2 linked regions of the Arabidopsis thaliana genome follow. The protein of the gene in region 1 interacts with the protein of each later gene in a biochemical or structural test. Each region holds a gene or a part of one and is shown on either strand. Other genes may lie near its edges.

Region 1 (12,903 bases):
TCTAAGGTAATATAAACTTTTGATACTTTTTCATTTGGCGTATGTATCTCTCCTCGTACATATGATGTTTATACATCTGTACGTATATATTTCTTTGAAATTTTAAGAAAAGATTTTTGAAATGGGTATATAATTAGGGTTTTGCATCTTCTCTAACCCAGAGTTTACATCTTTAAAATTTTCTCATGTTTCATTCGATTTGGTGTTAGCTCATGAATACTGTACTTTTTCATGATAACATTTTATAATCATTTGGTTTCAATTGAGTCTTTTTTGTCTTACTATTCTTACTTATTAACAAGCACATATTTATCAAAGATGATCCCTAATTTTCTACATTTATAATTCTAAAGATTGATATATATTTTGATTTGAATATTCAAAACTGGCGAGTAGTGATCAGATGAGAAAAACGAAAAGCTTCATGGCCTTTTTGTGAAGCTCGTTGGGATAGTATATCACTTTTTGGGAAAGTTCTCAAGCTTTTTCAGTTGATTTGATTTGATACAAACATCAAATTTCAACTTCTTGATCCAAACTTTTCATTGTAATTTCATGTTTCTATTTTCAGACCGATAAAGCCACACTGCTCGCCAAAGTAGTTCAACGAGTCAGAGAACTTAAACAGCAAACCCTAGAGACCTCCGACTCCGACCAAACATTATTACCATCAGAGACCGACGAAATTAGTGTTCTACACTTTGGAGACTATTCAAACGACGGTCATATAATCTTCAAAGCCTCTCTATGTTGTGAAGATAGATCAGATCTCTTGCCGGACCTTATGGAGATTCTCAAGTCTCTTAACATGAAGACTCTCCGAGCTGAGATGGTAACCATTGGTGGTCGGACAAGAAGTGTTCTTGTCGTAGCTGCTGACAAAGAGATGCACGGCGTCGAGTCTGTGCATTTTTTGCAAAATGCTCTCAAGTCGCTGCTTGAGCGGTCAAGCAAGTCGTTGATGGAACGTAGTTCTGGTGGTGGAGGAGGAGAACGGTCAAAGCGGCGTCGTGCGCTGGATCACATCATAATGGTGTGAAATGATGAGAATTGAGCACACTAAAAAGTCTATAATTGATTAATATATATAGGGTATGATCATAATTAACTTGGTTATAATTACCAAAACCTTTTTTATTCCTCTTTAATAATATATATGTTATATGGTTTTAGTTACTAAGTCTTGGGAGTGTAAGCAAATGTTGTAAGTAGGTTTGGTGTGTTCTTTTTCTTTTCTTTTTTTTTTCTTTTTCAAGAAAAAGAAAAAGATCTATATTATATATAAAGAATATTTGTCATGTTATTTTCCTCTATTTATATATATCTTTTTGGTTGTTGGTGTGATGACTAGGGTTTTGAGATTGTGGGAATATTTGTCGACGTAGAAGAATCTAAGTAACAGATGTGATTGGTGAAGTCCAAAAGAAACTAGGGTACTTCGATTTACATATACACACTATACATGTGAATATATATGTATATATAGTGAAGAGAAGGTCTATGTTTGTATGCTGTGAGTTTCAAAGCGACCCTTATGTCACCTTTGTCCCCAAATGAATCCAAACTCTCCTATCTCTTTCTTTGTTCATGTCTTTCTAAATGTGTACATTTGACCACATTTTTCAGACCAAAGAATATAAGCAGTGCCTGGTTTTCTTTCTTTCTTATATATTCGTATATATCCATGTGATTATGACGAACTGTTTTACTTTTAGTTGAGATTAATTAAGTGTTAGCGAAATGTCTAGTCTACTGTTTTTGTTGATCATATGGAAAAGACGTGCATTTATGCATGACACAAAAATGCTTAAACGTATATTCGAAAAAGTAACACTTTATATACGTTGTATATTTAGGACGCCAAATTTCATATTATGTACGGCTACATGTACAATGAAAGTGTGATGAGACTTGAGAGGATTAACCAAAAATACTGAAAACTTACTTTAATTTACTTTCTTTTAGTTTATTTTACTAATCGAATTTTGGCTCTAAAGTTTCGTGTGAATAAGAAGAATATGTTAGAATGTATAATGATGTGTATCCGTATCTAGTGAGGTTTGTACATATCTGTTATATTTATAATGAAAGTGTTTTGAAATATTGTAGAGATACTATGTTTGCTATGTATCTCTATTCTGGTTTCTTCAATAGGTATCCGTTTTGTTTATAGAAAATGGCTCACCAACTTGCCTCTATGGGAGGCTGGGGATATATGAACCAAATGACTCAATAATATAGCCAATTAGACCATTAGTAAATTGGAATATATATGAAGAAGAAGGTGAATGTGGGATTAAAGGAAGAGGAAGCGTGAGAAAAGGAGACTGACAAAAGGAAATAAAATTGATGGGCCATTGGCTCTATGAGACAAAAAGGACCGACTCTTCTCATCACTCTCCCTTTTCCCTTTCTCTCTTTTTTAATAATTGTTTTCTATAAACTATAATTTTATGGCGAATTTAATAAAATAATATTGAAGAAAACTAAGAGAAGAAGAAGAAGGAAAAAAAAAGGTGGAGAAAGTTTGTCCATGGAGCGTGATGGTTTTGGGGCAGCTGGTGTCCCCTCTATACTCAACCTCTCGACCAAAAAGTATATCTTATAGAAATATTTTTAGCTTTTGCACTATATATTATTGTTAAAGTTATATTTGTATTCAACTCAAAAGAAACTATAGAAAAACTTCTAATTTTTTTAAAAATTCCTTCTGAAGTTTATGGGTAGTGTGGCAAAAGCAATCATTAACCTCACACGTTAGTGTTCCATCGTGTGAACATGTGAGTGCCCTTTCTTATCTCACCACACAATTTTGACCATCCTATTTCCTTTTTGAATATCACTATTTTTTCTTTGTGTTTACTTTGTTTTATCTACATTTCACAAACAAGCAAATAGAAGTTATCATATTATATGTCAAATATGTGTTTGTTTTCATGTGTTCTTATTGTCTTTCTTGGTCAAGTGTTCTTGTTTACCTACACAGACAAATGTGGGAACCTTTTCACTTACTTCGGGGTTTTACCGGAAAGTTAGAAAACCTTACTAAATTATTGCTTTGCTATTAACAAAGATATCTTACTCATTCTTTAAACCAGTGTTTCATTTTGTCCATTGTCAGAACTTATATTCATTTTAACGTTTTAATTGATCTATCGTAGTAGTGAACCATCTCTAAAATAAAAATTCAATACTAATTGAAAATCTAAAACCAATAGATATTAAGAAATCATTTGTTAAATTAACTTACATCTATACATCTATATATGCGACTACTGTCTAGTTTATCTGGAATCCACAATATGTTTTTTGTTTCTCCAAAAACTTTTTGATAACTTTAAAAATCTAGTAAATGCAACATTTTCTAACCTTTTAAAGTATATTTGAGGGTTAAACCGAGAATTAAGACTTACAAGTCTTGGGATAATCACTCTATAAGAAACACTTTATTGTGGTTTGGTTCACTTTTAAACCTTACTAGATATTTTCTAAAAGTTAGTATACATAAAAGTTTACAAATTGTATCTATCTATAAAAAAAATTATTTTATAGTTTACAATTGTTATTAAGTAACGTCTTGCCAAACCCGTCCCGCCAACCCGTCCCGTAAAAAACTATTTATTTTATTAATATTGATCTTATTTATGATATGTTTATGAATTATTGTCTAAATATTTTGTAATTTTGTAGTAATTAAATGCTATCAAATATCTCTGCGGTTTGATGATTATAATCGAATTATTATAGTCATGGAGAAAAGCAATATCAAAAATAATAATTTTGTAATAATTAAATGATATTAAATATTTTGCAAGTTTTATTTTAGTAACTAATCGTGTAGTTAATGTTGAGAGATTTAGGGAAGATTGTTAAATGTCAAATATTTAATTATTCAAAGATTTTTTTTTCTAATTATCAAAAACAAACATTAAAATCTAGTGGCAGTTATTGTAAATAATTCCCAACTATAGGATTTATTTCACAAAATGGCTGCTATATAGATTTTTTAGATAAAACCGATCAAACTCTTTTTCTTTTCAATTATTAAACTCTTTGATGGGTTAAGAAACATAAAAACAAAAAGGAAAACAGAGGAGAAGAATCGAGGATCCAAAAGCCCATCTAAGGTGAGAGAAGAGGGGTCCAAACTGAGATTGGAACAAAATCGGTTTTAGGGTTTCAGAAAGGCCCAAATTAGATTCGAGTAGAGCAGTCCCACAGTGACTCCGACATGACAACACTTGAGTTACACAAGACCACCACGTCTCTATACTCTAAGTCTATGCCGTACGTCAAAGGCACCAACTCTTTCATCACATATATTATTAATCAATTTATACAAAACTCCAAATAATTCACGGGACCAATACTGAATCGAAACTAAACGAATTTGTTAAAATCGGACTTTGTAGATGCAACCGAAACAGAGTAAGTACATGAAAATACGTACAACTGCATGTGATTTATTGTGAAATTCTATGGGAAAAAATTGAATTGACATATTATGCAAAATGCCCGTATGTTACATAAACTTTTATTTTTGTGTGTGTGACTTAACATGAGTGTATAAATGGAACTTTTTTTGTTTTATTTTGTTTCATATAAGAATTTACGATGTAGGAAAAAAATTAGAAATGAAAAGAGGTGGCAAAAGAAAAAGAAGTGGGAGAAAATAGATGTCAAGGAATATTGATATTCTTCTTTTCTCCGATACATTACTTTTCCTTCCATTATCTTCTAGTAATAATTTAGGCTTTTGCTGCCAAATAACTCACAACCAAAAAAGCCCACCGAGGAAGATGGTTGTTAGGGTTTTTCTCTGTTTTATACTTTCCTTGGGCTATCTTACGTACGTAAAATATTTCTTTATATATTTGTCTAGTTTCATCTTCAATCTGAAAATATTATTCAAGTTTCAGGTACGATTCATCAATCTTTGTATTGTAAATTGACTCTTCTACAAAAAAAAAAATGAAAATAGAAATAAGAACCAATAACTAAACTTAAAGAATTAAATATGCTAATTTCAATTCCAATGTGCCAACAATGAACGCAATTATTTGATCTTAGACTAAAATAATCACTCGAGGAACTCGTTTCAAAAGAAAGAAACCAATCAAATCATTGCCTTCCAACTACGGATACTGAGTTTTTTTAACTCATTATAACACGTGAGATCGTCACTATCTCACGCATTTTTCTTTTTGGGTGGGTAATTCACTATCTCACGGATTACATAAATGTTTATGGATTATGACGATTGGCTGCATTGGAAGATGTATAGCCCAAGAAAACATATTTAATCCAGTATGATAGCCTTGTGATGCTCTATAATTTAAAGCATGGTTTTATATATAACTGTGACGTAAATATCAAGGTCTAAAAGCATTGTCATTTTATTTTTATTTCGTATAAATGAAAACTTTAGTCTAAAACACCCGGTCATGTAAAAGTTAAAGGAAAAAGAAAAGAATGATAGCTGATTAATTATGGCAATGTCGTACTATACTACGTCGAGAACTATTCATGATTAGATATTCATCGGTATGATAAATCATATATATGTGATGTGCCTAGTGCAGAAACCCAAACTATTATTTATTTATCTACTCCTTTGGGCTTTGACGTGCAAGTAAATTCTTAGATGTTGTTTTCGAAGTTTATGGGTAGGCAAACCAAAATCTGGAATGAGATATAGAAGAAACAAAAAGAATTTCGAGAATGAAAATTATGTCTCATTTTAAATTCAAATGAACTATAATTCATAATAAGAACATATGTTAAATGATGTTTTTACAACTTGATATGGATTTAAATTACATAAAAGAGAAAACACAACTTTTACCTACTCCTTCTCACAACTCATTCATTTTTGGTGTAAAGTTGATATATGTGGTGGACAAGTGAAATTTGGCAAAACTTGGTTTAACAATTGGCTAACCCTATGAAACAAATTAGGCCTTTGGGTAGAGCTTTCTTTTATCAAGTACCAACTTCGAGGTTATATATATGCTCTGCTTTTATATATTTTGGCATGATTCTAGGACTCTTTTGGATCCTTCGATTGATATTTGTAGACATAGCAAAATTGGCAGTGCAAAGATAAGGTTGCTGTGTAAGTCTTGATAGAATTTAGCAAATATAGAGACTACTCATCTCGTCTATTCTCTCTCTATAAGTTAAAATTGATGGGTTTGATATCAACAAGACATTACAATATTTCTAAAACATAAGAATATCTATACATTAGCCATCAATTAGCAACAAATTTTTTAATAATCAATTTACCATCATAATTTTGTAGCAAGTTGGTGAAGGAAGACTCTTTTCTTGGCAGCCAAACATCACATTAATCCCATTTTAACAATAAAGTGATTAAAAACTAAAAGAACTGAATAAAATAAAAACAAAAGAAATGAATGAAGCCTTTGGCTTTGCTTTTTCTCTTTTTGATTCTCTCCACTTTATTTTTCTTGTTGCTACTGCTAAAAAAAGCATCTTCTTCTTCCTTTTTTCATTCTTAAGAGTCTTTTGCTTTTCCTTGTTCGACTCTCTCTTTTCACTTATTTAGCTTTTGCTTCTGATTGGAACTAAACTCAATTCTCTCCTTCTTCCTCCTCTTTGCGTGTGGTTTATCTTCCTCTAATTAATCTATTGATCTCAATTCTCAACCTTTTTGTTAATTTCAATTTCCTTACCCCTCTCTGCGTTCTGGGTTTCCGAGTCTCGATTTCTGGGATTTCTTGCTTCTCACATGAATCTGTTTCGCAACCTAACTTATTCATCGGAGTGATATCGATATTCTTCTCAAATTTTGAAGCTTTTCGTTTCGAATTGACAATTCATGGGGATCTGTCATGGAAAACCCGTCGAGCAACAATCAAAAAGCCTCCCAGTTTCCGGCGAAACTAATGAAGCTCCGACGAATTCACAGCCACCGGCGAAATCCTCTGGCTTTCCGTTTTATAGCCCGAGTCCTGTACCTAGCTTATTCAAATCCTCACCATCTGTATCTTCTAGCGTGAGCTCAACGCCTCTTCGTATCTTCAAGAGACCTTTCCCTCCTCCTTCTCCTGCTAAGCACATACGAGCTTTCCTCGCGCGTCGCTATGGCTCTGTCAAGCCTAATGAGGTTTCGATTCCCGAAGGTAAAGAATGTGAGATCGGTCTCGATAAGAGTTTTGGCTTTTCAAAACAGTTTGCTTCACACTATGAGATTGATGGTGAGGTGGGTCGTGGACATTTTGGATATACTTGCTCTGCTAAGGGTAAAAAAGGTAGCTTGAAAGGTCAAGAAGTTGCTGTTAAAGTTATTCCTAAATCAAAGGTTCGATCTTTGAAACTGAAAATCAATTTCTCTTAATTCTGTATTCGTTATGTTGTTTTGAAATATATGACAATGATTTCGAATTCTAGTTTTATCGCCATGTGTTTATAGAAGTATACAGCTTGTTTCTCGACCCCGAGTCATTGCTTAGTGTTGAATGGTTTTGACTGCAGATGACAACTGCAATTGCGATTGAGGATGTTAGTAGAGAAGTGAAGATGTTGCGGGCTTTGACTGGTCATAAGAACCTAGTCCAGTTCTATGACGCGTTTGAAGATGATGAAAATGTTTATATTGTCATGGAGTAAGTATACATTTCTCAGTGAGATGTCTTAAGATCATTTGATTTTCAATTCCAGGATTGCAATAAATATATTGTAATCTCCTTTTACCAGATTATGCAAAGGTGGTGAACTCTTGGACAAAATACTTCAAAGGTAATTGCTAATCACACATGGCTCTGTATCTGATTGATTTTCTCTTCTGAATCGTGCTTTGACTGGTTGAGCTTGATCTAATTAGGGGTGGAAAATACTCCGAAGATGATGCTAAAAAAGTTATGGTTCAGATTCTCAGTGTTGTGGCTTACTGTCATCTACAAGGTGTGGTTCACCGTGACCTTAAACCCGAGGTACTTTATAATCCATGGTGATGTTTAATTTCTAGATTGTTCTCTCATTGTTTTTTTTTGTAAATCATTTTGGCTTTTGTTGACACTTCACTTTCTAGGTCCCATCACATTAAGCAGTCTTTGTACACATAGAAATGAGTTCCACTAACTTATGCAGAGTGATAATGACGGTTATGTTTCTTTCTATTTGTTTGTTTACCTTTCACAGAACTTTCTTTTCTCTACCAAGGATGAGACTTCTCCTCTGAAAGCAATTGATTTTGGTCTTTCTGACTATGTCAAGCCAGGTTAGAGATGTTGAAATTGACTCAAGATTTCTCATATCAAACTCATCTTCATGTTAAATAGAAAATTTGACGGTGTTTTGCAATTCTGCAGACGAGAGGTTGAATGATATTGTAGGGAGTGCTTACTATGTGGCCCCGGAAGTTTTACACCGTACATATGGAACAGAAGCTGACATGTGGAGTATAGGAGTGATTGCTTATATTCTTCTCTGTGGCAGTCGACCCTTTTGGGCCCGTACTGAATCCGGAATCTTTCGAGCTGTACTAAAGGCAGAACCGAATTTTGAAGAAGCTCCTTGGCCTTCTCTATCACCCGAAGCTGTAGATTTTGTGAAGAGATTGCTAAACAAAGATTACCGTAAAAGACTAACTGCGGCCCAGGCTTTGTGTAAGTATAATATCTTTGATCTCTATAACAGGTTTAACACATCATTATTTTGTTTTCATGGTTCTGCACTTCTTATATTCTGAACATCTGAGTAATCAATTGTCTTTTTCCTCAGGTCATCCCTGGCTGGTTGGCTCGCATGAACTAAAGATTCCATCTGATATGATCATATACAAGCTTGTAAAAGTGTACATAATGTCAACTTCATTGAGAAAATCGGCTTTAGCGGTGAGTTTGATTCCACAGAAGCTGTGACATATATACTACTTACTTAACAATTTCAATTGTTGAGTTCTTTGAATGAAAACTTTATGATTAATGGGTTTTGTTTTTCATGGTTTTAGGCTCTTGCCAAAACATTAACTGTACCGCAGTTAGCGTATCTTCGGGAGCAATTCACATTGTTGGGGCCAAGCAAAAATGGATATATCTCGATGCAGAATTACAAAACAGTGAGTTGTTTTTCCATGATTCCATCAACCTCTTCAGTTTTCTTTTGCGATCTTCTGTGATTATTGAACTTTCCTCTACAAATCTCAGGCAATCCTAAAGAGTTCAACAGATGCTATGAAGGATTCTCGAGTGTTTGATTTTGTTCACATGGTAAGAAAGCTATAAATATAAGGACTATAAGCTTAATCATTAGGTTTGGTGGTTTAACGTTGTAATCTCTGTTGGGATGCAGATAAGTTGTCTTCAATACAAGAAACTAGACTTTGAAGAGTTTTGTGCTTCAGCATTAAGCGTTTATCAGCTCGAAGCAATGGAGACATGGGAGCAACATGCACGGCGTGCTTACGAGTTGTTTGAGAAAGACGGGAATAGGCCCATCATGATTGAAGAACTTGCATCGGTATAAGTTTTACCCTTTTTAATTCACCTAGGGGCTAGAGAAGACTCGTGAAGAGCAAAAAACCTGGTCATGCTTGATCTTAAGCATCTGTATGTTTTAAATTGCAGGAACTCGGACTAGGGCCATCAGTGCCGGTGCACGTTGTTCTTCAGGATTGGATAAGACATTCTGATGGCAAACTTAGTTTCTTAGGGTTTGTCAGATTGCTACATGGCGTGTCTTCTCGGACCTTACAAAAAGCTTAGAGTAACGCCATTGTTAGATGAGAAAAGATGCAACTAGGTGGAGTAGATCTGGTTTCTTCTTTCCTCTCCACTTCTTGATAGTTTTTTTAGTTTTCTTTTTCTATTCATGGTTAAGCTTCTGAGTCAAAGATTCGATAATTATGTCTGTGAGTGTATTTGTGTGTGGTGGGAAGGAAAGGTTTATGAAGAAGAGGAATGTACAGAATGAGACATATCCGATTGGTGTTTTTAATCCAGTGATGTTTACGTGTGAAGCACTCTTTTAATGGCAGCCGGAAAAAACAATTTGTCTTTGTGCCATCGTTGGATCAGAGCAATGATACGACACGTGATTGTGTCTCACATTGTCAGAGACAACCACGTGACTTTGACCTTAAGATCTCTGATCTCATCTTAATCTCTACCTAACCGTCGCAAAGATTCTTTCTTTCTCTCTTCTTACTCTGATCTAGACACTACAACAGTTTCATTAATGGCGACAATGAGCAAACCCCATAAGTTAAAAGCCACTCCAGGATCTCAAAGACTTGTTCTGTTATGTATAGTCGCAGTTGCATTTCTCCTCCTTTTCACTTCGGTGATCTCCACCGGCGGATTGGCTTTACCGTATCGGACAACCCTAATTGGTTATTTTGTGAGGTCAACTCGAAACAAGACACAGCATAGTTTGTCGGACAAGTACTTGTACTGGGGAAACAGAATCGATTGTCCTGGTAAGAACTGTGAGACCTGTGCCGGTTTGGGTCACCAAGAATCTAGCCTTAGATGTGCCCTTGAAGAAGCCATGTTTCTGAACAGGTAACTTTTGCAAAATCCACCAATATGTCAAACTTTTGAGATTTCTGATGAAGTTCTTGAAATGGCAATTAGCCTATCTGGTTCAATGAGATGGTTAGTTGAATAAATGATGCAGCTCTCTTGGTAAAGATGGTCACTGTAATTGCAATTTTCTTGTTGCAGGACTTTTGTAATGCCATCTCGGATGTGCATCAATCCAATACATAACAAGAAGGGTATACTTAATCGATCCAACAATGAAACTAGAGAGGAAAGGTGAGAGTTTCTTTAAACTACTTCAAAAACTTAGGTTTTGTTTTGTTTCCCACTTTTGAACACAAGAGGTCTCTCTCTCTCTCTCCTTTGTATGTTCTTAGTTGGGAAGTGAGCTCTTGTGCAATGGAATCATTGTATGATATTGATCTCATCTCTGAGAAAATACCTGTGATCTTGGATGACTCGGAAACATGGCACATAATGCTATCGACGAGTATGAAATTGAAAGAACGTGGGAGTGCGCATGTATATGGGGCAAACAGGCATGAGCTAAATGACTCTAGCGACTTTACAAATCTTTTGCTCATTAACCGAACCGCAAGCCCCCTTGCATGGTAAGCATTGCTGAGGAAATTGTGTTTCCAATAGATTGGGAAGTTGCTGCTCCTTGAGCATTATTTTCTTATCTTGTTTGTGTTAGGCATCATCATTATCAGATCATATATCTATCTTCATTGTAGGTTTGTTGAATGCAAGGATCGAGGTAATCGTAGCGACGTCATGCTTCCTTATTCATTTCTCCAGACTATGGCAGCATCAAGATTGAGAGATGCTGCAGAAAAGGTGAAGGAGTTGCACATAATCTAGCTTTCAGGAAAGAGTGACCAGATGGTAATGTACTGTTGACGCCTTATAGCTTATTTATGACCAGTTTTGGTTGAACAGATAAAAGCAAAACTTGGTGATTACGATGCAATCCATGTTCGTCGAGGTGACAAACTGAAAACAAGAAAAGACAGATTTCGCGTGGAAAGAAGCCAGTTTCCACATTTAGATAGAGACACACGGCCAGAATTCATCATTGGCAGAATTCAGAAACAAATCCCACCAGGACGGACTCTTTTTATCGGTTCTAATGAAAGAACCCCTGATTTCTTTTCACCTCTAGCTATCAGGTAAAACCATAATGTTTAGATTCAAGTTTTTAGTTATATATGTAGAATGTTCGTGTAAGACTCTTGTTACACTGCAGATACAAAGTGGCGTATTCATCGAATTTTAGTGAGATTTTGGATCCGATCATCGAGAACAATTACCAGTTGTTCATGGTGGAGAGGTTGATAATGATGGGTGCAAAGACATTCTTCAAAACATTTAGAGAGTACGAAACCGATCTCACTTTGACTGATGATCCGAAAAAGAACAAGAACTGGGAAATACCAGTTTACACCATGGATGAAGGCAAAGAAGCAGCAAGCTAAACTATCTATGATCTCACTAGGCACTAGCAAAGTCTACACAACGATTCAGACAAGAGTCTCATTACTCTTCAAATACTTGGAGTTAAAAGCCTAATCTTATCTGAAGATTCTATTGCATAGGAACTCTGTGTATGTGTAACCAGAGTCTCTAACAGAGACTAACAGACTAGATTTGCTACTTGGCTGACTCATTTTTGTGTAAATCAATCTGTTTATCTTCACTTCAATGTTCATTGCACCAGAAATGGTTTTTTAAAAACATTCGAGTTACATGGTATGGTCGTTCGTCTTTTAAGCAAGTTTCTGCAGCCACTTTCGATATCCTAATCCAATATAAGTGAAATTTCATATTTTCTTTCTTTTCTAAAGAGAATAGGTTCTGTGAAAGGTTAAATGGATCAGTAGATTTTAATCAGATAAGCCTCTTCATATTTTTTTCAAATCTGTACTTACATAACATAACCTAGGCACTTTGTTCTAAAACTACAACGGCAAACAAAAGAGGCCAAAAGAAAACCTAAAAGAAAGATAAAGAGGATGTAAATCAGATCATTTACTGGACATATTATCGTCAATGCAAGGCCATTTCCGTTGTTAGAACGCAGCAGAAGAATACCTCTGTTGTACAATGTCTTCATCTCGAATCAACAATGTTTCTGAAACTTCCTAGTAAAGAAGGTTTAGTGAGAGTGTGCTTCAAGAAGGATGTTGGTGGCAGCGTTGACATCATTTCTGGCGTGTACAAGCGCCTGTCTCGCTGCATTCTGGTCAAATCCCATAGATACCAAAGTAGCTATGGCTTCCTCTGATGGCTCTGTAGTTGACGGCATTGGAGCTCGATAAGCTCTCTGAGAAACAGAAACATTACATATCAGTAAATGAAGATGTGTTATTTAGATTGTGATAAGAGTTTGGCT
Region 2 (12,087 bases), on another chromosome or scaffold:
ATGAATTCGCTTGGAAATTATGTTGCATATGTCGGCCACGACGTTTTTTTGCTCCTTAATTCCGTAGTCCAAATCCCTTTTATACGCGGAAAGTATTATTTTATAACATTAGAACTGATAAGTGTAGTTATAAAGTTTAACCAAAAAGAAAAGTGTAGTTATAAAACCTCCATAAAAAGAAGTAAAAATAATCATAGTTATAACAATTAGCATATTAAGAAGATTACACTGAGTTAAACGATATTAGTATATTACTCACACCAAGTAAAACGTACTACATTTTCTTTACCGTTATTAAAATGTCTACTACATGCCTGCACCGCTAATCAAGGCTAATTTTTCATTACCATGCAAACTTTGCATAGTTTAAATGGGTCAATGCAGGAACAATAATATAATAGAAGAAAATCTCAAAAAAAAATGACCAAATTAATTGAACGACAAAGAGAAAATCCAAGTTCGTGACTAAGAAGTGACTAGTCCATATACGTTAGTAGATATAGAGCCCCGCGCTTGAATCTCGACAAGACAAAACCATGAATTAATAAGGAACATGGTCACCTTCACATCACTTCGATTCGGACAAACGTAATATTTTTTATTATATCTTTTAAAAATCTCCTCTTTATAGCTAAACTCTTGTCTTCGATCTCCGAAAGCAACCTTTTGGACCAACGACCTCGAACACACACAAACAGAGTTTATAAACAGTGTTTCAGCCACTATTTAACTATTTCATCTCTACGTTAATCCATGAATATTTTTTATTTTCTCCTTGGGTAATAAAAGCCAATCATGGTAGATATTATTAACCGACCATCTGTGATATCAAATTGCGACAATGTGGGCAAATATATCTGTCATTTACACAGTAAAAGTAGTAAAGGATTCTATAAATTATATACACCAATAATTTGGCCCTCTTGATTGACTCGATGTGTGTATCAGAATTACACTATTTATAAGCTATAGTAATAGAAACTAATTTAGAAAATCCAACTCACATGATGGATATGTCTTAATGCCACCGTTTGTAGACCCCCGGCGTCCACTTTCGATTTTTTGGAGCTTTATTTGTCCATCTATTAGCGGATGGGTTGTTCCGAAAATTTCAAAACACTCGAATCGGTTTTGCGTTTTAGCTCGAGTTTTTCTTCCTCATTTTTTCTTCGTTTGCAATAGTGAAAATTACTTCTCAATGATGCACTTGTTGTACAACCAACATTTTTTCTTTTCAGTATAATTTAACATTTTATTCAAAAAAAAATAAAAAAAATTACTTCTTAATGCCTCATCATTTCGACCCCACATTCACTTTTTATTTTTGGAGCTTATTTTGATCCATATGTAAGTCAATGTGTTGTCCCAAAAAATGTAAATAACCAGTTTCTTTTTTCCTAAATCATAGTATTACAAATTATCTCGAAGACATTTTGACCTCCAACACTAAAACTTAAGAATAAAAGATGTACTAGTATTTTGAGATAAATGACAAATATCTTCTTGAATTAGGTCTTAGCTTGAAGATGAACAAGTGGGAGAGTAGACAAAACGTGGGATAGATTACGAGAAATTCAGAGGTGAAGGAACATAGTAAGAGAAAGGTAGGTTCGGCCACAGCAGATTCCTAGACCGGCTCTCATGCAGCACGATGCTTTATTTTGTATGCCTAACCATGTGACTGCAGTCTCTCCATTTAATTCAGTTGGCCGCTACTTGTTTCTTTGTTTTTTTTTCCTAACCATGGTTAGTTTGTAACACTGGTTAGTGGTTACTCACACACTTGTTACTACTTCCAACCTTTTTTTTCTTTTTTTTTTGTTGTCTTCAAAATGTAAGAAACTTTAATACTTCTTAATATGTTGATTGGTTTTGTCACTTTGTAGACCCCTGATTTTTAACTATTTCGGTAAACTTTTGTAAAACAATTTGGGTTTAAATCTCTCATGTTTTATTAGTTGTACATCTCAGCTAATGACAATAGCTCAAGTTAACGTATCATACAAAACAGCAAAATAGATTCGAATTTGATTTTTTTCTTTTTTCTTTCAGGTAGTTATATATATAACTAATGTATTGCAAATATTTGAAAAACATAAAGTTCAATGAATCTAAATTTGATAATTAGATTAACAAAATCGACATCACATGTATGAAATCGAATTCCTGAATATTCAAAATATTGTGTTTTTTTCATAAGTTCTTGCATGCATTTGCAAACGAAAAAAATCGATTTCATATGTTATATATATATATAGTCGTAGATATGTCGTAAGTACATTTGGGTATGAATATTTGGATAATTCATCATGGGTACTAGATTTCGCTGTCGTTCCATTTGTAAAATATCAGGATTTTTTAAGAAAAAGTTTTATACAAAACTGTATTACATGTTTGAATGAATGATCATACATATATATATTTGTTAAAATACTACTATTTAACACATTAAAAATGACATCCTGGAAAAAATTATATTAAATTTGAAATCTCTACATATTTTTGTGAAATATTTTGAAAATCATGCCAATATATATATGATTATATTCATTCAGTCATGGTGGATCATCATTTTGTACACCAAAACACATTCCCCATTTTCTTAAAAGAAAACTTCTATATATATATATATATATATATACAAATACTACTATTAGATGTGAATATGTAGAAATATTTGAGTCCCATGCGAACTTTACGTAAATATGTTGGGAAACGATTATATATATATAACTCACTTTTCTTATAGAAATAGATAGAACACAAATAGTGTGTGTAAAACTCACACATAATTAAATTCCATAGTGTTTTCGGTTGTTGAAAAACATGGAAAATGCCGAGGAGGTCTCGAATCTGATGTATTTATTTATCAATAATTTGGTAATGTGAAATAATAAACCAAAAAAAATAAAAACAAATCTTTAATGTTGGGAAAGAGATGTGAATGAAGGTACGGTCAATATATAGACAATGGTACGTAAAGCGAAGAGTACATTGCCACCCTGTAAACTCTGTATGCTCTATGTTTTCACGCTATTGATTTTCGCTTTTCCTCTGTCTCTCAACATTTATGTGTTCCATCGGTTAATTCTTGAATCTCGATTGTATTTAATTCCGACAGAATCTTAAAAACAAAACTATTTGATCGTAACACCATTTACGTTTTTCTTCTTCTTTCTTTATTAACAACATGTAATATAACGAGGATTTAAAATCAATGTTAGTGTGTGACTCAACAAATATCTTGGTCCATCAGTTACGTTTTTTTAATTACTCGATTTAATTGGATCATTTAAAGTAATCATCAACGTTTAACAAAAACACAAAATATGGTCCATTTAATACTATTGTATATTTTTGGCTTCTTTTCTCGGTCTCTTGTAAATTCTAATATAAGGAAAACAAACGTTGGACAATAATTTTGATACGGTACAATTATTCCATATGGTCGCTCTTTAAAAACACCCATTTGCAGTTATCTTTTTTCCTGATTTGAAATGGAAATAGACATATATAATATATATATATATATTCCTTTTGGAGCAAAAGTTAGGAAATAAATATATATTCTTCAGAGATTTTATGGCACATTGTATATATCTTAATAATATTCCATAGAATCAATACGGGTCATGAATCTCTCTTCACGATGGAATATATATGATTTATTAAGATGGAATCATGGAATCATATCATTTCTTTTTCACACTAATAAGGAAATTATCATATATATCAGAATCTCTACATTACACGATCCAATCTCAAAAGAATAATATATAATCGGCTTAAAATTCGAAACAGTAATTAAAAAATTTTCACATCTTCTACTCCGAGAAATTTGGGTTACAGATTAGAAGAGACCTTGTCATAATTACTACCCAGTAATTTTATTTAATTACCATCACGTGGTTAAACAAAGATATGTAGCATGCTAACTTATCCGCGCATTTTAGCTATTTTCCACTTAAAACATACTACTGTTTACTAACATACGCTGAGAGTTACAGTTCACACATCTTTTCTCTTCCTTCTTCTTCACTGTATATTAAGAACAATAAGCAATATCAGTTTTTTTTTTCCTCTGATCGAAGCCGCGGGAAAGTTATAATAATATAAAGATATTTTTCGTGAGAGTTGCTCGTTTATGGGAGAATCGTGTCAGATTAATTTCTATTTTTGTTGGTTTAATTTTCCATTTTTAATTTAATAATTTTAAGGAAATATTATTAGAGTGAAAGGAAAAAAAAAAAGATCTTGTGGGTCGCCATTATATATGCAGGTCTTTCTCCAACCTTTTGCTCCTTCTCTCTCAAGTGTCAAGAATCAAACAGTGGCTTAAACCCAAAAAAGGAACATGGGTATGTCTCTTTTTTCTTTCTTTCTTTTTTCTCATTGTTGATTCTTCTTCATACGATTTTTGGGTAAGATATTTCATTATTGGTTATGGGGTTTTCAGTATTTGGTAGTTGCAGGTTAAAGTTTTTGTTTTTCTTCTTCTTCTTGTGGTTTTTTTCTCTGTTAAGCTCTTTTAGAAATTTACCTAGGATTTGATGTCAGTGGTATCTCTCTGTTTATTGGTATTTACAAGAATACAGAGAGAAAGAAGAGATTATTATTCATGGGTTTTGTTCTGATTTTTGAAAGTTTCTGTCTTTGAAACTCACTGATTTTTTTATATTTGGGAATTTTTTGATTGCAGATGTTAGTATGAGTTTTTCACAAGATATGGATAATGAGTATGAGAAGCTGATAAGAAGAATGAATCCACCAAGGTATTAACTTTTTTCTTTCTCCTTCCTTTTTGTTATTATAACTACTTTTAATAGTGTGATATGATTTTGGATAAAAACCTCTGTTTTATTTTCCAGGGTTGTGATTGATAATGACTCTTGCAAGAAGGCAACTGTGATAAGGGTACACTTATAATTTTGGTTTATGTCTATATATCTTGTTTATTCATTTATGTAGACTTGTCCTGAATTTTTTGTTTTGTCTTCTTGATGTTGTTTAGGTGGATAGTGCAAATGAATATGGGATTCTTCTTGAAGTTGTACAAATCCTTACTGATCTTAACCTTACTATCACTAAGGCGTACATATCTTCTGATGGTGGTTGGTTTATGGATGGTATGTTCCGATTGTTAAATTTTCTTTTTTTTTGGATTCTCTTTACTTTAGAACAAGGGATTGATTCTCTTATTCTCTCTGCTACTTGGCAGTATTTAATGTCACTGATCAAGATGGTAACAAAGTCACTGATGAAGTTGTTCTAGACTATATCCAAAAGGTGAGTGTTTTTTTGTTAAACTTGTTATCTTCTTCTTATGTGTGAGTGAGAGTTTAATGAGTGTGTTGTGTTTAATTCTCAGTCTCTTGGGCCTGAAGCTTGTTTCTCCACTTCCATGAGATCAGTTGGTGTCATACCATCAACAGACAGCACGGTTATTGAGTTAACTGGATGTGACAGACCAGGTCTGCTGTCTGAACTGTCAGCTGTTTTGACCCATCTCAAATGCAGTGTCCTCAACGCTGAGATTTGGACACACAACACCAGAGCAGCTGCTGTGATGCAGGTCACAGATGACTTAACCGGGTGTGGCATTTCTGATCCAGAGAGGTTGTCTCGGATCAAGAACCTTCTCAGAAATGTGCTTAAGGGAAGCAACACACCAAGGGAAGCTAAAACCGTAGTGTCTCATGGGGAGGTCCACACGGATAGGAGGCTTCATCAGATGATGTTTGAGGATAGAGACTATGAACACCGTTTGGTGGATGATGATTCCTCTATCCAAGATGAAAGGCAAAGACCAGATGTTTGTGTTGATAATTGGCTCGATAAGGATTACTCTGTGGTCACAGTTAGATGTAAAGACAGACCAAAGCTTCTGTTCGACACAGTCTGCACTTTGACTGATATGCAGTATGTGGTTTTCCATGGAAGTGTTGATACTGAGGGCACCGAGGCGTTTCAGGTAAAGAAATATCCCATTACCATAGAGCAGAGAGTTTCCTTGAATCCATTTACTTATCGGTCTTTGTCTTTGCTTTGCAGGAGTATTATGTGAGACATATAGATGGATCCCCTGTGAAATCAGAGGCAGAGAAGCAAAGAGTCATACAATGTCTTGAAGCAGCTATCAAAAGAAGAGTATCTGAGGTAAATGATCCAGTAATATATAGTGTCTGGTATATACTCTTTCTGTAACTGTCACTGAGAGATCATTGTTTGATGTTTTAGGGATTGAAGTTGGAACTGTGCACGACGGATAGAGTAGGCTTATTGTCAAACGTGACTCGCATATTCCGTGAAAACAGCCTAACGGTCACAAGAGCTGAAGTGAAAACCAAAGGAGGCAAAGCTCTAAACACATTCTATGTCAGTGATGCATCTGGTTACTCAATCGATGCTAAGACCATAGATTCCATAAGACAAACCATAGGCCAAACTATTCTCAAAGTCAAGAACAACCCTCAAGAACAACAACAAAGACAGAAATCGCCTTCTCACGAATCACCGACAAGATTTCTCTTTGGGGGTCTCTTCAAGTCGAAATCTTTTGTCAACTTTGGCTTGGTCCGTTCCTACTCTTGAAGAACAACTTCACTTAGCTGTGAGGTTTCAATCTCATCTAGGTTTTAACTGCTTTAAACTTGAGAAGAATCTGTAAATCTATCGCCAGATATAATCTTAAATTCTTGGTCTAGGATCCAACTTTGGGTAGGGAAAAAAAGACAAAAGAGTTTTAGTTGATGTCATGACTAAGTGTTAAGTGTTAACCTACTCTTCTTGTATATATATCAAATCCTCATTATCTTCTTCTTCAGATTATTATGTCAAATTAAAATTTCCATGACTTGAAACAAAATAACTACAAAAGACATAATTATACTTCATAATTTAGTGATTTATGGGAAGAAATATGATTGAATGATTCCAAACAAACCTCCTAAATTTACACCAAAAAATTATTGGCTTATGATATCGAAAGAAAGACTCTAGCAAATTAAGAGACACCATTTCAAAGATTTTTTTTTGTGAATGAATGTAAAATTAATTCAACCAAAAAAATGTTTTCCATTAAATGTAACTTTTTCTAAAATCTTAAGCTGAAAATAATAGATATAGAGTCTTTAAGAATTTTCTTGAGCCAAACCAAATACATAGCCCAAGTGGAGAATGGATGAACATTACACATAATTGCAACAGATTTTTCATAGTAAATTTGTATAAAGAAATATAATCTATAGCATGTAACAAAAATGAACATGTGAGGGGGGGTGTAGATATTGTCACCACCGAACACTTTATGGGGCGTGAATACTGAAACTATGTCGATGACAATGTGTGTATGATAGATTCTCGAGTCACATGTTGAGACCAACAAAGTGATACACCTCCCCACCACCACACACCGCCCATTTAGTTTTCCACATTCATTGATAAATGTTACATATTTTTTGGCTTTTCAATTTGAAATTTCTCAGAATTTACTAAACTAACATATATATATATATTGACATGTGACTCGTCTCAATTACATGGCTTTCAGTGTGGGTTTAGGATTCTTCATGGCAGAGGAAATCTTTTAACTTTCAGAGATTGTCTTTATAAATTATGAGATTGCAGACTATCCCACATGCATATTTAACAACATTGTTTTTGAGTTTTAGTTTTCTCCAACTACAAAAAAAATGAATGATCTACAAAAATTTCATTTTCTTCTGATTATTAGAGATTAATGTGTGTTTGGCATGAGTGGTCGAATTTTATATACGGTAATAATAAAATGAGTTTTCTAAGTTTGAGAATATAAATAACAATAAGAAGAAGTAATTTTGTTTCATCTTTCACGGGTTAAGCTTAATGATTTATTCTATTTTATAGTGTGATTTGATTCAAAACATCTAAACTGTGTGAGATAGATGTAGTGAGAATTATACATTTTCCGATTTTCGTCTAGAAGATATGACGAATTAGCTAAAACCTAAAAATAAATACACGGCCGTACGCGGCCACATGTTGCCAACGATAACGCATTCCTCATGCCAAAATTAAAATTCTCATCTAATATAAGAAGACTAAACATAAAAATTGATTAAGAAAAGAAGAAAAACACACTAAGCATACTTCCCATTATAATAGATCTCATATCTATCCAATCCATTGACCATTGACCAGTTTTTTTTCTTGTTTGTTTTTTTTGCCATATTGAGTCAATACAGGCACCACCACAACAACCACACTTTCACCCAATTTCTATTTTTCTTACGTTTAAAAAAAAGGATTTTCTTCTTTATATTTATCCATACTATTAATTACTCTATTAAAATCCTCACGCTAAGCAACCCCTAATTTCGTTATCAGCTTAAAACCCTTTAAAAGGAAAAAAAAAAACATTCAACATTTTAAAACATCAACAAACCCAAACACCAATCCACACACAAAACAAGACTTGATACATTATTATCAAGAAGCAAGAAGCAAGAATGGAGGATTCAGGACGTAAAGGAGATCCATTTCCAGGTTTTGAGATGAGAGTTCACAACGACGATTGCGTTTTCCGACGATCTCTTAGCTGCCGGCTTCAGAGAAGAGCTCCTTGTCCTCTTCTCTTACCACCAAGACCTCCTCCTTCAGCGGAGGCTCCTTCTACTACGACAGGTGTTTCTACGTCTACGTTTTGTCAAAACGGCACAGATCCGATCCCTCTCTTGTCTCCTCTCGTCCTTCCTTCGATGCTTCAACCTAATCCAACCACCACCTCTCACTAATTCTTCTTTTGTCTAGATTCCTTCTTCTTTCTTCTGTAATGACTATTTTGAAACTCTTTTTTTTATTGAAATTTTCAACATATTAACGTAGATACAAATCTGTTATTGTCTCTATACAAATTTCACAAAGATCGTCTTCTCTCAATCTTGATTATACTGAAGATTTTATTTTGTTAACACATCATTTATAGTTTGTACAAATACAACTAGATTTTAACCCGCGGTATACCGCGGAACGATTTATTTTTAAAAATAATATATATTGAAACTTGCAAATTTTATTTTTACAAAATATTTATATTTTACAGTTTATAATTGTTATTAAGTAATAGTACACCACGAATTCATGAGACAGTTGTTAAAAAAACTGAAGTTTTGATCCCTATTAAAACAGCATATTTTATAATTTTTTAAAATTTTATAAATATTGATTCAAATACATCCACCATATAACCCAATTCCAAAATAAAACACGTTCTGTAATTTCTTTACCCGTTCCATGATTTTTTTTTTAAGTAGTAATTTTTAAAATTTAAGAATTATATTTTATATATAAAAGTTTTGCAAATTGTATCATTCTCTAATACATTTATATTTTATAGTTTAATTTTATATATAGTAATATTATACATACCACATAACATTTTTGGTTTTATATAATTTTTTCTAAATTAGGATGATTTGATATGTTTAATATTAGTGGTCTTAAAAAAATAATAAATTAAAGATTTAACCCATATTGAAATTAAATTAAATTAATTAAAATTTAGATATCAAATCTTATATGTTGATTTTGATTGGCTATTATTTTTGGAAATTAATAATGTATTTCGTTTTTTAATTAATTTAATTAATTAAATTAGTATTTGACTTTTTAATCCTTAAATACATAAATTAATTTACTCTTTAAAATTTTATTTCTAATGGCATACCTATGTAATTACTTACAAAAATTAAGGTTAGATTTAAAATGTACTTCCCAAATAATATAGTAAGATATCATCAACTTTTATTTTTGATTTATTGTCTCTTAATGAAATTATTCAAGGAGTGTGTGCACCTCACGCCACTCACACCAATTAATACCTATAGACTTTGGTCTAATGTAACTGGAATTGGTCCAAAAATTAGAGAAGACAAGACCTCTTTACATGCTTCCAGAGCTACCAACAAACCCAATAGAAATTTTGTTGTTGCAACAATCTCTTTAATTAATGTACAAGTTTCTTTCAATCACCATAAACCTTGATTTCTTAGTTTTTTTTCCCACAAATTCTACCAACAATTTATTGTTTTTCTTTTTATTATGTTCTTAATTCTGATCTTTCTTTGGTGAGTTTTTTTTTTTTTTAATTTTGATAAAGAAAAGATAAGTTTGTGAGTTTAAACACTAACCCTGTTAATTTTTCTTCATCACATTGTTAATGATGCGTTGACATAGGAACCTTTTTCCTATACCACAAAAATTTTTCTTTTTTTTTTCTTTTTTTGTGTGTGTGTAAAACTCCACAAAAATTTAACTAAGAGTTAAAACTGATGAAAAATCTTAATTTTTTGGTAAGATTTATAGAAAAATGAAAAAGGTTTTTTACGATTTGTTTTAATTAACTATAGATAACCACCTTATTTAGATACGACGACCAAATTAATTGTCGTTTGGTTAAAGGTCATAAGAGTATTAATTGGAGCCGTCAGATTATTTATTGACTTAAATATACCTCACTACTTTTACATTTCTGCATTATCTCTACATACCATATATTATAAGACTTAATTTCGGATATATATGTGTTACCAAAATTGAAATTCTCTCATTTACATATGTTTCCTTTAAAATTTAAAACATGATTTTACCCACTTGATGATCACGAAGAAGAAAAGGAAATCAAAATAAGATATGATGTACTATATGAAATTGCGACTTGATGATTACAATAAAGGAAAAATAACATAATCAAAAACTAGATTAAATTCAATTTTCGCATGGAATTACATAATTTCATTATAAAAAAAAAATAACATACAAAACTTTTAATTTAAACGTCCAAAAACCCTACATTATTCCAAAAAAAAAATTGTTTGAAAGTAAGAAAGAAAATTAATACAAAGTGAGAGAGAAATATGTTTAGGTGACACGAGTTTCACTCTCAATTCCAAAGACAGACCAATCAACGAACAAAACCCATTTTCTCTGATCGATTAGGCCACGACGTTTCCTGAGGTGCAGGGCACGAGTCGCTCAATCTCTCTCTTCTTCTTCTTCTTTTCACGAATTTTCTCCGAAACTTGGTTTTTATTCCTCAAACCCATAAATTAGGGTTCAGTTTTTAAGCCTCCGTCTTCTTCTTCTTCCGTCGTCGTAGTCGAAAGGTTAGTTCGATTATATTCAAATCTTTACTCACTACGATCCTTAAATTAGTGGGTCGTTTTCAAAATTTTGATTTGATTCGATTTTCCTTGGTAGACCATAAAACCTAGAAATATACGATTAGGTTATTCAATTGCTGTCGATTTCTCGATGTAAATAGGTTTCGTTTGGTAGATTCTAGAAACTTATTTAATGTCTATGATCGTTGCTAGGTTTTGTATCGTGTAGTGATTAGTTTATCAAATTCACTTTTGTTTTGAGTTGTTACCTAATTTAGTTTTAGCTGATTTTGATGAAGTGGGAATAAGAATCTGGTTATAGTGGTAATGATGTGTTTCCTCTGCTTATAGGTGGTTTTAGCTATATGGATATCTTCTACTGCAAATACTCTTCAAAACGGATGCTTTGAAGCCTTGATACTAATTTCATGCGTTCTATATATGTGCATCGTAAGGAAGTAATGGGAGAGAATCGTCAGATTAGATCACGTTCTTGGAATAGAATGCCAACTAAAAGATGCAGTGCAAATGGCATAATGGAAGAGTTTATTCTGGTAGATGATGATGATGTTATCATTCTTGATTTTCCTGAGTCATCTAAACGGAAAGCTCCGGGTACATCCAGAACCAGGAAGGAGTCCATTATGCCGAGAGTGATTAGCATTGACGATGATGATGATGAGACAGAAAATGTTCAGAAAGCTGGGAGTAGTTCAAGCGGTAACTTGCAAACATCTGCAGAAGTGGATAATGACGATTGCCAATTCATTCAGGAGAAGTGTGCTACTTTTAGATTTTCAAAATGCAAACAGACTTTCTCTACAATGCCCTCTCATGGTATTCGATTTGGTTTAGGCTCTGATACTTATAGTGACTTTTCCGAGAGTGACTGTTCTGATTGTGAGATTTTAGAAGGGTCTCATAGAGATGTCCGCGAGCAGTGGGAACA

The links.
Region 2: of the proteins of CRK1 (region 1) and ACR4, one has a biochemical effect on the other in vitro, tested with the Arabidopsis thaliana proteins (one study listed by BioGRID).

The regions. Positions count from the first base shown.
Region 1 is NC_003071.7:17,143,648-17,156,550, forward strand, and holds CRK1 (CDPK-related kinase 1), read left to right. Parts: upstream 1-6,447; 5' UTR 6,448-6,844; coding exon 6,845-7,327; intron 7,328-7,500; coding exon 7,501-7,631; intron 7,632-7,722; coding exon 7,723-7,764; intron 7,765-7,849; coding exon 7,850-7,958; intron 7,959-8,166; coding exon 8,167-8,245; intron 8,246-8,336; coding exon 8,337-8,633; intron 8,634-8,748; coding exon 8,749-8,861; intron 8,862-8,977; coding exon 8,978-9,085; intron 9,086-9,173; coding exon 9,174-9,236; intron 9,237-9,318; coding exon 9,319-9,486; intron 9,487-9,593; coding exon 9,594-9,731; 3' UTR 9,732-10,046; downstream 10,047-12,903. Other genes in the region: AT2G41130 (basic helix-loop-helix (bHLH) DNA-binding superfamily protein), read left to right, coding at 1-6, 572-1,039; AT2G41150 (plant/protein), read left to right, coding at 10,204-10,529, 10,692-10,784, 10,886-11,119, 11,246-11,348, 11,451-11,680, 11,758-11,986; AT2G41160 (Ubiquitin-associated (UBA) protein), read right to left, coding at 12,667-12,834. UniProt on the Arabidopsis thaliana protein: May play a role in signal transduction pathways that involve calcium as a second messenger. Serine/threonine kinase that phosphorylates histone H3.
Region 2 is NC_003070.9:25,953,489-25,965,575, forward strand, and holds ACR4 (ACT domain repeat 4), read left to right. Parts: upstream 1-4,078; 5' UTR 4,079-4,354; coding exon 4,355-4,358; exon of another isoform or gene 4,359-4,699; coding exon 4,700-4,772; intron 4,773-4,868; coding exon 4,869-4,914; intron 4,915-5,011; coding exon 5,012-5,126; intron 5,127-5,218; coding exon 5,219-5,286; intron 5,287-5,368; coding exon 5,369-5,971; intron 5,972-6,051; coding exon 6,052-6,156; intron 6,157-6,237; coding exon 6,238-6,591; 3' UTR 6,592-6,913; downstream 6,914-12,087. Other genes in the region: AT1G69050 (uncharacterized protein), read left to right, coding at 8,487-8,771; AT1G69060 (Chaperone DnaJ-domain superfamily protein), read left to right, coding at 11,567-12,087. UniProt on the Arabidopsis thaliana protein: May bind amino acids.